2 linked regions of the Diceros bicornis minor genome follow. The protein of the gene in region 2 purifies or fractionates together with the protein of the main gene of each other region. This does not show direct contact. Links are inferred from orthologs where the notes say so. Each region holds a gene or a part of one and is shown on either strand. Other genes may lie near its edges.

The links.
Region 1: the proteins of NEK2 (region 2) and ANAPC1 purify together in Homo sapiens (affinity purification with mass spectrometry; 3 studies listed by BioGRID and IntAct, with this or other methods). This does not show direct contact. The link is inferred for Diceros bicornis minor from reciprocal best matches to the Homo sapiens genes NEK2 and ANAPC1.

Annotation. Positions count from the first base shown.
Region 1 is NC_080779.1:18,750,096-18,757,264, forward strand, and holds the start of ANAPC1 (anaphase-promoting complex subunit 1), read right to left. Parts: upstream 3,084-7,169; 5' UTR 2,837-3,083; intron 2,811-2,836; exon of another isoform or gene 2,534-2,810; intron 2,254-2,533; exon of another isoform or gene 2,133-2,253; intron 831-2,132; 5' UTR 807-830; coding exon 594-806; intron 1-593. UniProt on the Homo sapiens protein: Component of the anaphase promoting complex/cyclosome (APC/C), a cell cycle-regulated E3 ubiquitin ligase that controls progression through mitosis and the G1 phase of the cell cycle.
Region 2 is NC_080743.1:77,451,096-77,458,356, forward strand, and holds the start of NEK2 (serine/threonine-protein kinase Nek2), read right to left. Parts: upstream 3,001-7,261; 5' UTR 2,926-3,000; coding exon 2,830-2,925; intron 1,993-2,829; coding exon 1,775-1,992; intron 1,486-1,774; coding exon 1,245-1,485; intron 1-1,244. UniProt on the Homo sapiens protein: Protein kinase which is involved in the control of centrosome separation and bipolar spindle formation in mitotic cells and chromatin condensation in meiotic cells.

The sequences.
Region 1 (7,169 bases), on a different chromosome or scaffold from region 2:
CCTTATTTCACAACTGCATATACATTCACCTTCCTCCCTTATCCCACCCACCAAAATGAATGGGAGAGAGAAAGGTTGACATTTCTAACTACATAAACTTTCCCCCCTGAGAATTTGGTATCCCAAAGGGATATGAAAACGGAATAAGACAGGAAAGATTGATTTTCTGACACAAACTTACATCTCATCCCCTTATTTAAGAACTACTACTCTACTTATGTAGCATTTTTTTCTCCTCTACAAACTAAGTTTTCTGTAGCAGGGACCCTTTCTAACTCTAACATCTAATCATCAAGTAACATGAAATCTGGTCCCCACGTACCAAGAGAAGAGAAAGAGGCTTAAAATGGACCATAATCACAGTACTGAACTTGACTCTCATTGTAAAACCATGAGTTATATGTCTAAATAAACAGCTATGACACTATAATACAATCAAGTCATTATTTTAGCCTTGTTTAAAATGACCAAATCTGAACCTCTACCCTAGAAACAGCATCACACTCATTTCTCAGTTGCATCTGGGTAGCCTTAAATTACAAGCAGATTACACCACTCTACATTTCAAAATATAATGGGAAACTGAATGAAACCTTCTGTTTCTCGTGGATTGTAACCTCCTGAAGGGATCCCACCAAACCAGCAGCACCATCAGAAGACCACAACTCAGAGGCTGGCTGCAGCTGGCGAAGCTGAAGGTTCAAAGCATTAGGGTGGTGCTTGCAGTGGTCTCGACCGAAAGGAACAAATTCCTGCAAATCCCCGGCTGCAATCATTGTTGCCCTTTCTTCATAGAAGTTCGACATGGGTTCCAAATATCAACATTATTTCTGTATGAATTCAAACACATTCTGGTCAGCTTCTAGAGTCAAAACCAGGATAAAAATATCACAAAAGTTTACGAAGAGTCATTAATTCTTAGCTGAGTGTCAAATAATCCTATTATATTGCAGGTGTATAAGTAATCAACATCAAAGGGCATTCCAGATCTGACTCTTTCAGGTAATTACAGTTATCACCACACTGTAGTTGCAGACTGACCAACAGACAGTTACCGCTGTCAGAAACCACTGGGCTGAGACAAGCACTTATGCCCCACAACACCTATCCTATGTTTCCTACCACTATACGCTAATTTTTCCACACTTCACACAGAAAGTATTTAGACAAGCTGTCCTTTATATAGTTGTACTTTTTTATAGTTGTACTTTATAGTCCCATGACTGCCGTGCTTCTCAACATTTAAGGTCATTTCTATACAGATGCTGGAACCTCATTTGAAAAGCACACCTAGAGGATCACTGGTATATTGGAATGAAACAAATAAAAAAAAAAACCCACATATTATTTCTAATTCCTCACAAGTTGAACTATTGCTTTCAGTTGACCAATCCACAAAACAGGTAATAAACTATCAAATGTCATCAGTAGTTTTCACACCCCCATTCACCTAAATACATGACTACAATCAATTCGAATTCTTTGTCCAAACCCAGGGAACCAAGGCATGAATAACTCTGGCCATGGAACAGTCATGCTTGTAGCAAATTTAAGCGTCCTAGTTTTTAATTAACATAATCTATTACAGTACAGTTCATTATACAAAGATGTGGATGGGCTGTGAGTGGAAACAAGTCCCTTTACCTCCAATACATTTCTACATATAGTAACTAACAGCTAGAACTAAAATTCTGACACTGTATAATCTTGTTTGTAAGGTGGATGCCAGTCCTGTCTCCAACACAACACCTACATTAAAAATGGGTTTTGCGTGATCACATTTAAACTGCAATCCTCAGACACAGAAATCAAAACAAACGTGATGTCAGCACTATAGACAACCTTTAGAAAGCATCTGAAACAGGGCTCACAATTAGAGTTTAATTAAGTTTGATTTAGATATCTCATCTGAGCTCTTTCTGGCATCAGTTTTCTTTGCTGCAACATCTCAAAGCCTCTGTAGTTTCTACACAGCTCCTCTAGAGTCACAAAGTTATTCTGCTATGAATTAAATGTTATTCCTGACATGACTGTATGTCACAATCATGACTTTTATTTTCCTCCTGCTAAAGCTCAGAACTGAGAACACTTGAACTTGGGACATAACTAAAATAGTGCCTTATAAAACTTACAAGAAAACAGCAAAATTCAGCTCGTCTTCCTATATTCTAGTCAACAGGTTAACCAACACTTAAGAACTTGCCACTTTATCCAACTTCAGTTGTGTAATTTTGAAATGTTATTCCATTAAAACTTTGAGAGAAAATTACAAAATTGTTAATCATACAATTATTTTCACAGTACAGTTTCTCTTTGCCCTGATAAAGGTTAACATTAAAAAATTTTACAGTATCCCAAACTTTTATGCTTTTACTTACTAGGGCAACATACACAGGTACATACGAAAGTACTATCTTAAGGTGACACGCTGTAAGTCGAGATACCAGCACGGCTTACTAGGAACAAAAACAACCCTGCCAAAGGTAACCGCAAAGCTACTTCAAGAGGAGACCCAAATGCACACAAAAGGCACCTTGAGTTGAGTCTTCGCAAAAAGGCAGAGCTTCGTCGGCCTCCTAGGGTTAAGCGAAACCAACAGGCTAAGGGCCTGGGTTTCAGAAAATCCTGTCAGAAGGACAAGGGGCCGATGCAGGAGCTCGGGCCCACGTGGGACTCCGCGCTTAGCTCAGGAAGGAAGTCGGCGAGGCGTGCAGCGGAGAGGGGCACCCCCGAAAGCCCAGCCCGCAGGCCCGGGCCCCCTCGGCTCCGGGTCAGCGGGCCCGAGGGTCAGGGGACGCGCGAGGAACCACCGGGCGCTGCGGGCCCGGGCCCGCACCTGTGTCACTCGGGACGCGTCAGGCGCGGCGAGCCCCGGCTGCTCCCCGGAGGCGCGAGGGCCAAGGGGGCCCGAGGGCAGCGGCAGGGTCGCTCACGGTGACTCCTCGGCCGCCGCAGCTTCTCATCCCCTCCTCCTCCCCTATTCCGGAGGAAGAAGGGGCAGCGGCTGCGGGCGCGACTGCTGACGAGAGGCAAGCGTGCAGGCGACCCACTCAGGCGAGACGTTCAAATGGACGCGTCCATCTTGGCTTTCCCGTCCTGCCTCGCGCCGGGGCGGGGCGGGACATCGCGGGAGGCTCGCGCCAGTCCCGCGGTCCTGACGCCTGCGCAGTTGCGGGAAGAATGCGCGGAGCGGAAGTTGCTGGGTACTTCCATCTTTGTTAGCGTGGCGCCGAGCCCCGAAGCGGGGAAGTCTCTGTTCCAGTCTGTCCTGTGATTGGACCCCCGTAGCAGAGTGGCTCCAGGTCATGTCGCTACGAGCTCGAACTGCTTCCCAACTCTGAATTAGGGGATATCCTGGCTGTTTTCGCTCCTGTCTCCCGACCCGACGAGGGGACTGCTGATTATCTCTTTATGCCAGTGCATTTTAACCCTTTGGGGTCCAGGCCCCTTGAAAAGTTGATGAAGCGTATGGAGGCCTCGCGAACACGTTGTGTGCAATTTCTGAGCGTCGCAGACCCAGGTTAAGAATCCCAGCTTTATCCTTCCTTCCGCGTCTGTGGAGTCAGCTGTACAATTAGCGCACTTGGGAAAGGAGCAAACTCTCTTGAGCTCTAATCTCCCATTGCGTGGTGTCTCTAGGTTGAAATTATTGACAGGCGCCCTGTTGCCTAAGAAAAGTTCAAATTCTTTATCCAGAAATGTAAAGTTGGCAGAAACCGTATGTCGGCACTAAAATTGTCCACTGGGCTTCCCGAAAACACCTTGCAGTGTGTGGCCTTGGTATCTCAGTTCATTCTCATCCCTTGATTTGGAATGTCCACGTTCAGGGTTTAGCTCAGATACCTCCTTAGAAGGCTTCACTCCAACAGGAGCCTACTGAGGATTGAATGTGTGTGTCCCCCCAAAAATTCATAGTTGAAACTATGCCCTATGTGATGGTGTTAGGAGGTGGGACCTTCAGAAGGTGCTTAGATCATGAGGGTGGAGCCCTCATGAATGGGATTAGTGCCCTTATAAGGAGACCTACAGAGCTCCCTGGCCCCTTCTACCAAGTGAGGACACAGCAAAAAGACAGCTGTCCGTGAATTAGAAAGTGGGCTCTCACCAGACACCGAATCTGCCAGCACCATAATCTTGGACTTCCCAGCCTCCAGAACTATGAGAAATAAATATTTCTTGTTTATAAGCCACACAGTTGATGGTATTTTTGTTATAGAAGCCCAAGAGAACTAAGACAGAGCCTCTCTTAGAACTCTGAGAAGACCTGTTCACTGTAGTCATTTACCTGAAACCAAAATATCCCCAGACTTCCCTGGCCTGAGGATACAAGGAGCAAATTTTAATGAAGGCAAACTGATCAATAAGAACAAGGCAGGAAGGAACCAGACAAGTAAATTCCCTTTTCTTCTCTCTCTGGTGGACTATTCTAAGGCAAAGTTTCTCCGCACAGCCTGTCAGGAGACGTCCTGTATGGCTGAGTGGACACACCTGCCAAGCGGACTGCTGCATTGTTGGCAGCCTGTTGTGAAGCAGCGCCAGTGTGGCACTTCTCATCCTTCCATGCTTCATTTCCCCTTTCCTTCATTCTCTCTATCTTGGGCTAAAGCATCAGCGCTCATCAAACTTCCCTCGGGCTCTGTTTTCTAGGACAACGCAATCCACAAAGCATGTCTTACGCCGTCAACTGTGCAATCCGTGAAGCAGAATCACTGAAAGGGTCACCCAGCTCTTCCTCCTGCCTGTTCCCTTACTTTCCCTAAATTCTCTCAAGATGCCTTTCTGTGGCCTCAGCCTTGATATCCTCTGTGAGGACAGCAAGGTCCGTCCTGATAGTTCCCCTCCTACTCCCGAAGACCTTGGGCCCTCAGGTGCCAGAGCAGTGCTGTGTTCCCTGCAGCACTCCAGTGTCATTAACGACACTTGGACTCATGCTTTGACAGTCTCTTAAGAAAGCAAATCCTGCTTCTGCCACTGACCTCTCTGCTCATGGGGTCCAAACCACAAATCCAGGAGTTTCAGAGAAGAGTTATTTCCCGTTGTCTCTATCGTCCTCCCATTCTCTTCTGTTGGCATTTGAGGCATCCACTTGGCTCAGAACACGTAAGCCCTGGTATAGACTCCTGCAGGCTGCCAACTCATTGCATTTCCGCTGCCCTCCAAGCAAGCGTGAATTCCCTTGTGGGCGCCTGAGATTGCATCTTGGATACAGATACACATATATCCAATATTATACACTAGACCTCTTTTGCTGATGTACTCACCCCAGTAGTTAGCAAAATTCTCTCTATATGATTGGTATGCAAAAAATTGAATACAGGGGCAGGCCCAGTGGTGCAGGCGGTTAAGTGCGCGCGCTGCGCTGCAGCGGCCCAGGGTTCACTGGTTCGGATCCCGGGCGTGCACCGACGCACCGCTTGTTAAGCCATGCTGTGGCCGCGTCCCATGTAAAGGGGAGGAAGATGGGCACGGATGTTAGCCCAGGGCCAGTCTTCCTCAGCAAAAAAAAGAGGAGGGTTGGCAGATGTTAGCTCAGGGAGGATCTTCCTCATGAAAGAAAAAAAAATTGAATACAATCCCTATTTCTCACTTTTAATCTGTAATAAAATATACGTCTCTGCATTAGTAGCTATCGCTGCATAATAATATTACCACAAACTTGGTGATTTAAAATAACCTATTTATTATTGTCACAATTTCTGTGGGTCAGGAGTCCAGGCCCAGATAGGTCTTGTGCTTAAGAGTCTCACAAGGCTGCAGTCAAGGTGTTGCCTGGGACTGTGGTTTCATCCAAGGCTTACCAGAGAAAATTCTGCTTCCAGGCTCGCTTGGAATTCAGTTTCTTGTGGTTAAAGGACTAAGGGCTTTGGTATGTTGCTGGCTGTCAGCCAGAGGCTGCCCTCAGCAACCAGAGGCCACCCACAGTTCCTTGCCGCACAGGGTTCCCCAACATCATCAAAGTATGCAAGCCAAGAGGGCAATAGAGTCTGCCAGCAAGAAGTCAGTCGCGATCGTAGACAATCTGATCACAAGAGTAACAGCCGATCACCTTTGAGGGTCAGGAGCAAGTCACGCTCAGGGAGGGGATTACACAAAGACGCAGGGATCACTGGGGGCCATCTCAGAAGCAGCCCACTACGGTCTCCAATATCTGTCTGATAGTATATAAGGCCCTAAACTACCCATTTTAGCCAGGAGGGTGAAATGGCTGCCAGACTCCTCTCCTCTGAGCCCTCGCAGCTGCCTGCCCTCAGCCCTTCCCCTCTGGGTCTGCAGAGGGCCCTACAGCTGCCTCTCCACCAGGCCTGCAAAGGACCCGGCGGCTGACCCCATCTCACCCTCCAGTTCTCAACAATCTCATAGTCTCAGAAACTACCCAACAGATTTTTGTTAAAGCAAAGTTTGGTGTTTTTTAACTACTACTGCAGAGGAGAGACAGGGAAGACAAGCTGCTTCGCAAACCCCTGAAACCACACTTGATTTTTATAGGGTTGGAAAAACAGCACCCAAAAGTCAGGGGACAAAGGAAAAAAAGGACAAAGGAAAAAAAAAAAATGAGGTTCATTACCAGTTCATTTACATGGTAAGTGGTGAACAACAGGTACAATTAATGAACTGTCACATAACCATGTTTTCTGAATTTATTCAACTTCCAATACCTGGTTCACAAACTTGAAGTCAATTCAGGCATGGGGTTAGGATTTATACTTGAAGTAGGGTGACCAACCATCCCAGTTTTCCCAGGATCGAGGGTTCCCAGGACATGGGACTTTCAGTTTTAAAACCAGACATCCTAGACAAACAGAGACTACTAGTCACCCTAATTTGAAATGATAAAAGGTAGTCTTATACACATCTGAGCAAACTCTTACTTCTGGGACCTTGGGTATTGGGATATTTAAGAGAAATGAACGCCACAGCATATAAAACACATCTTCTCCATTTCAAACTTCTGGCTAGCCTGGCTGGCCCAACTTTATATCTCACAAGGTGTTTGTAAAAATAGTTTTGAGACCAGGGGCAATTTGTAGCATTGCGCTGAACAAACAGGAAGTCTAAAAATCTGGAAAATTAGGGGTTCTATTCATTTAATCAAAGCTTGTCCCATCTTAAAGGGGAAGTTTGTATTTCTGATTTGAAATTTTTCCTTCTCAAAGAGAGGGTTTACAATA
Region 2 (7,261 bases):
AAAAAATAAATAAATAAGTAAATAAAAATTTATAATAAAAATAAAAATAAAGTACAACAGGTGAGTCCGAGACCACTTCCTGACAATCAATGCCTTAGGGAAGGCTGAACTGATCTAATTACAAGGGCAGGAGGGAAAAGGAACAAAAGAATTGCACAGGTTTCAAATTTTCCAAGAACTACTTCTGGATAATTTTCCTTTATGTTAAAGGCTTTCTATTTGCAACTTGATCTGGCAAGAAAATGACACTCTTCTGGCCATGTCTAATCTTAGTCAAAAACAAAATCATTAATTTACAAAGCTTTATACTATAGTCAGATCAGTTAATATAACCAAAAAAGATTTAGAATATCCTAGAAATGTTTGTGAACTCTTAAAAAAATTAATAAATATCTCTCCATCTTTATCTGCTCAGATTTCATCTACAGCACACTGGTGCTATCACTTATTGATTCAAGCTTTTTAAAAGCCATCAAGCGATATCTAGAGAGTCATAAACAGTTCATACCCTTTGACCCAGCAATTTCATTTTGAGACCTATACCCCAAGGAAATAACCAAAAAGGAAGAAAGGATAATTTATACAAAGATATGCATAGCAGTGCTCCTTAGAATGGTGAGAAATTTTGGAAACAAAATATCTAGCAATAGAGGAAACAAATAAGTAAAGTGGGTGGTCTCTGCACCTCCACTGTAGGAAAAGTCAAGAAAAAAAGAACAAGTACAGAAAGTTAACACCGTAAAAACATGTTATCTGAAGTGAGTGAGCCTCTTGAGCCCTGAATCTCCATGCACAAGAATCATCTACAGTCTGTTAAAATATGGAGTCCAAAATAAAAGGGGGGGAGGGCAGAATGCAAGGACCTGTCCAGAGACCCAAATTCACTGGATTTGGGGCCCAGGACTCTGCATTTTAAACAAATATTCCAAACAAGTAAAAGCTGGTGTCCAGGACTTATGGCACTTTGAGAAACACTGCTGTTGAGAGCAAAGACAAAACCTAGGTCATCATTGTAACCCCAGAGGTGAGCACCTGGTAGTCACTCAATAAAAGCTTACCTGAATTGCTGATACAGAGGAGTTTAATGGTCTGGTGGTCCATTTGGAAAATACAAATTTAAAAGGAAATAGTATTATTAATTCTTGGCTATTGGATATTACTAAACAAACACAAAGCTCAATTTCTCTGCATTTGAATGCTTGCATGAAGATGTTAAAAAAGTATCTAAATTCTGAGATACTTACAGGAGACATGTAATAAGGTGTGCCAACAAATGTTTTTGCAAAACTCGTATCATGGTTTAATATTCTAGCTAGCCCAAAGTCTCCAAGCTTAACGTTTTGCTTGCCATCCAGGAAAACATTGGCTGGTTTCAGGTCCCGATGCAGCACAGTATGACCACCATCGCTTCGTCTGTGACATTCTTTTAGGGCCAGAGTCAGCTGAGTCATCACTCGAAGAACAAACTCTTCATCTAAGTATTGTCTGAAATCAAAGCAGTTATATAGCATATAACTTCTGAATAAAACCATTACAAAGATGGGATGATATGAATTATCTAGTTTTCAAAGTGTAGAAGTAGGGAAATAAATTATTTTGATATGAAATATGGGTGTTGATTCACCAAGGATTTTCTAAAGTACTGTGGACTCATCAAACAAATACAAGCACACTCTTCCACATTACTAAGTACTTCATTCCTGACCCTAAAACAGGATGCTTAAAGAAATGAAACTAGGCCCATTTTCAGGTTATATTTAAAAGATTAATTTACCTTTCCTTGGTTCCCTTCATAATTACACTAGCCAGGTCTCCTCCTTCGCAATATTCCATTACAATGTACAGTGTTGTGTTGGTTCGGTCAATAATTCGATCGTAGTAACGGACAATGTTTGGATGTTTCAGTTCACGAAGCAAATTCACTTCAGAAACAAGCATTTGTTTCTCAGCTTCTGTCATAGAGCCATAGTCAAGTTCTTTCCAAACTAATATCTGAAATAAGAATTTCCAAGGTATAAATGAACGTTCCAAAATTTAAAATTTTTAAAAATTACTTGCCTATTAAATAGATCATACAGTCATTATCATCTAATTTCATTCAATGAACTTAAGGACCCCTGAGTTTATTTTCATAATCTTCCTCTAATTTTTAAGCAGTAAATGGTGCAATAGGAGAGAGAGGGATGAGAGACATTAGGCCTCCCTCAACCCCCTACCCTCACTTGTTTTGTGGGAGGTTGGCAAAAAGTACTTTGGTCAAGGCTGGAGCGGAGGTAGTCCAAGTTCCTGATCATCCCAACCAGTCAAGTTTTTCCAGGGTGAGAGACCTTACTAAAGATCCCTCCAGCAGCAGCTAGGCAGTTTCCTCTCATCGTTTCTTGTATTGTTTCTCATTGTATAAGGTCTACCTACACACACTGGGAAATATGAATCAATAACCAGAATAATGGGTATTTTAAATGAGTCTGACTGCAAGACATAAAGCTCCAGGTTCTGGGGGCCCCGCCCCTTTCTCTCGTCTGAGAGGGCTACTCTTCTCTAAAAATAGCTCAGAAGTCAGCTACCTGTCACCAATGGAAGGCCCTCAGCAGGTCAAAGCAGGAAAAAGGAAGGAAATGGAAGAGAAAGGAAAAAAGACGGTAAAAATATGCTATATCAAAAAATACAGTCTCCCGTTCCTTGAGCGACCCAGGACAGACGCAGGCCTGGGGAAGATGGCTGACTCTTGCAGGCACCCTGCTTTCGAGATCCACAAGCCCAGGCCTCTCGCTTCCCTTCGGCGGCGGCGGGCGCAGCAGGGGCGGAGACAGGGCAGGGGCCCGCGCTCACCTTGCCGTCGCTCTTCCTCCGGATCTTCTGGCAGCGGCCGTAGGACCCCGTGCCGATGGTGTACAGCACCTCATAGTCCTCCGCCCGAGTCGGCATGGCCGGGCCGGCCGCACGACTCCTGCAGGTCGCGATGCAGGCACCTAGCTGCAGCCACCGACTCCGGGACCCCTCCGAACCCCACTGCCCCGCAGCTCCAGTGTCCACCCCCGTTTAACCGTCGCGGGCCCTGGACTCGCAGTCTATTGGCCCGCGGTCAGGTCGCTTCTCCTCTCTGATTGGCTAAGGAGAACACAACACCATGGGCATCTTGGGAAAAGCCTATCGCTAGGCAACCGCGTCGGTGTCGGCGTCTGCTTTCAACCTCTAGGGAGAAAGGGGCGGAGCCAAATCAAAGGCAGGGAGGGAGGTAGAAAGCGGCAGCAGGTGGGTGCCCGCGGCTCTATTCCTCTGGCTGAGGTGTAACCAAAGTCCAGAGATCTTTCCTCAGACTTCTTTGCACACTGCCTCAACCAACTACCTTCTGACCGTTGCACTCTGACCCCTCACACTACCCACTGTTCTCTCGCAGCTTCCTGTACCCTGAGCCTGGGCGGGGTCACGCGGAAGACTTGGTGAGAGTGAAGTACAGAGATCAAAAGTGCAGTCCCTCTCTAAAGGATGCGCGGATGAGTGCTGGCTCTGGTGCGGGGGTGTGCCAAGCACTTTGCGTGTCTTGTCTCGTTTATTTCTCAACACAAACCTATAACGGAGGAAGTAGTGTTATCATTTCCCATGAGGAAATGGAAGCACAGAAAGGTTAAATTATTTGCTTTAGGTCCAACGTCCGGGAAGAGAAGAATCAATGTGAAAACAGTGGTTACTCATGGTAATGATTTAAAGTTCACACACGACGTCAGAGTGCAGTCACCATAGACTATTTTTTTACTGAGATATAATCGACATACAATCTTATATTAGTTTCAAGTGTACAACGTAGTGATTTGACATTTTCACATAGGGACTATATTTTTGAACACCAAATTTAGAGGCCTGTTCAAATGCAGAGGATGTGTACAAAACCTCAGGGTAGAATATGGAAGTCCCTGATGTTTTGGAATACCCAGAGAATATGATGGCTCTAAGGCAGAGACAGTCAGGGACCTTTAAGACTCCTACAAAAAAAAATTTTATTAGAAAAGACTACCAAATAGGGTAGTTGGGATGCTGGATGCTGGACACATATTTAACTGACAATACTTCATTGAACGCAGCCTCTTCTGGGCACCCACAGAAACCAACATTTTCAGCTCACCCAGCCAAATGGAACATTCTCATTTTTAGCTGGGAGAGGGGACCTGGAGGCCCCTGGGTGGGGCTGGATGGTGGAATATGTGTATTACCTGAAGGCTAATAACTTGGCAATGCATAAGTAGGTCAATTTTCTTTAAATATCTGTTCAGCATGGGACTGAAAGGAACTTGATTTTCTATTAATAAGAATTACAGTGGCCGGCCCTGCGGCTTATGGGTTGAGTGCGTGCGCTCCGCTACTGGCGGCCCGGGGTTCGCATCCTGGGCGCGCACCAATGCACCGCTTCTCTGGCCATGCTGAGGCCGCATCCCACATTCAGCAACTAGAAGGATGTGCAGCTATGACATACAACTATCTAACTGGGGCTTTGGGGAAAGAAAAAAAGGAGGAGGATTGGCAATAGATGTTAGCTCAGAGCTGGTCTTCCTCAGCAAAAAGAGGAGGATTAGCATGGATGTTAGCTCAGGGCTGATCTTCCTCACAAAAAAAAAAAAAAAAGAATTACAAACCTCTTTATGTTAAAAATAAGGAATTTATTACATGCACTGAATATAACAATTGAAATCGCCAGCCAGGAGAATTTTTAAAGGAACATTCAAGGGCACTGTCTTACCTCAAGGGAATGTGACCAATTTAGGTTTCAAAAGCTATGTAAGGAGCTACAAGTGGCTGAGTTAATTGGCATTATATTTTTTATTTTAATACATTTTAAAGATGGACATCCGTGGAGCTCTTTGGCTGGCCAGCCCCAAATCCAGTCCCGCATCTTCTCTCGGGCCATTCTTCTGCTCTTTGCCCCAGTTCCCTGAATTCAGCACACTTTCTCAGATGCCCCCTACCACCACTACCACTACCTCCTTTGCACCTGTTATTCCATTGGCTGCAATGCTGTCTGCCTTACTCCCTCATCCACTCCCCCACCCCGATCACATCTGTCTCGAGGACACAAATTGTCTTTCAAGATTCAATGCCAACTTTCTCTCCTGCACTCTAGGAAGCCTTTCCTAGCACACCAGAACAAGCAATTCCTCCATCTACAGTGTTCACAGACCCCTTCATGCATAAATCAACCTTTAACTTGTTATTTGTTTGATGATTTATTTACGTGGGTCTCATAGGAGCTCAGCTCCAAGCTCCTTGTAGCCAGCATAAGTCCTGTAATAAAGGAGACATGCAGTAAATCTTCGTTACATGAAAATATGAGAAAGAAGCTCATTAATAATCATGCGAGGATTTGGAGTGAGCCCTCTGGTACTCATGTTTCAAATGCCCCCAGCCCCATGGCAGAGACTAAATATTGGGGAAAGGGCCACCCCAGGAGTATGGAGAGCAGCTCCTAGGCACATATATTCATTCAACATATATTTATTGAGCATTTACTATGTAGCAGGTATAATGATAGGCATTGGTATGCTGGGTGTTCATTAAAAAAGAGACAGTGGGGCCATGATGACAATGATAAAGAAAAGAGTGACATAGACATGGCGTGACAAACCCTAATGACTTGCAGAGTTAGTCCATATCATTGGGTAGGAGTGAGGGGCGAGACAGCCCAGCAGAGACCACTAGACACCAGAGTATAAAGAGACATTGGTGGCTGAGGAGCATGTGGAAATCAATCAGGAACACTTTACAGAAAACAACCCTTCCGCTGTCACTTCCTCCCTCCTTCCTTCATAGTCTGCCTGTTCGTTAAGACTCAGCTCATGCCCAGTTTCTTCCCTGAAATTTTGCCTGACTGCCTTCAACCCACTGTGATCGCCTAAAAGAACAATTAACTGTGTTCTTTACTCATTTAGAATGTGCCATATACTAGTCTATATTACTAGCTTCTCATGTATATCTACCTTATCTGACATATTAAATCAAAAATTCATCCTTCAATAAATATAAATTGAGGCTCTGCCTGGTGCTGAAGATACCCCAGTGAGCAGGACTGACGCGCAGTCCTGGAGGTGGAGGAGGTAGATGGACACAAGCACGCAGAGAAATTCAGCCGTTACAAATTGCGGTGAGAATTCAGAAAACAAACAAAGAACTGAGACAGAAACTGAAGATTACATTTAAACAGAGAAGTAAGAGATGAGCAGTTCCATGAGGGTGGGGCCAAGGCTTGAGCATCTCTGTAACCACTCTCCCGCGCCCAGGGTCTAATTCACTGTCTGCACAATTTTCTTGTTAAATGTGCTCATGTTGTCAGTTTTCGTTTAAATTTGGTGAAATCCCAAATGAAGAGATTATTGACACTCTGTCTGTGTTTTCTGCTCACAAGTGCTCTACAGATGTTCCCAGACACCAACTAATTTTTAAAAGAAGAAACTTGGAAGACTAATGGGCATCTCCAACTTACCCTGTCCAAAATCAAGCTCCTGATTTTTGCCCCAGACTTATTCTACTGGCTGTCTTCTTCATCTTAAGTGACGAATGCATATGCTTTTGTTTACTGCAGTATGTCCAGCACCTAAAACCTGCCTGGAACATGGTAGGCACTCAATTAACATTTGTACATTGAATGAACGAATGGAGGAAGCCATACCTCATTGCCCTCAGCTTCCTTTTTATGTTACATTAATGACCCACTAGGGGGTTGTACATCACTGCATAACAAACAAGGAGACAGTACATCCACCCGTCCACCCTCAGAGGCCTGTCCTTACAGGAAACTCCGAGATTTGCATATTGAGCATTTCAAATTTCAGACAAGATATTCTGTGTGTCTTATCTCCACAATTACTTGGAGCAATTTGAAGTCAGGGATTATGGAAATTTTTTAAAGTAATCAATAAGGATTTCTAGAAAGAAAAAAAAGGAGACATTCTTTGTTCATAATAATCAGAAGCTAAAACATGTTAAAGAAAGGTGCATGACATAGTATGTCAATAAATAAGCATGTTCTAGAAGAAAGAATGAGGTTTTATGGAGCCTGGCCCTAATAGCGACACACCACTTGATATAAACAGAAGGACAAGATGCAAACAAAGAGACAGCTTTGGATTTAATGGCAGGCAGCTGATGGAAGAATATGATGAGAAGAAATTTATCTTTGAAACAGAATAGTGTTTAGTTCTGAACTTCACCACATTTCAAAGAAGGATAGTGTCAAACTTGCACCCAAGGGTACAAGTTAGGGCAAGGCTGACTT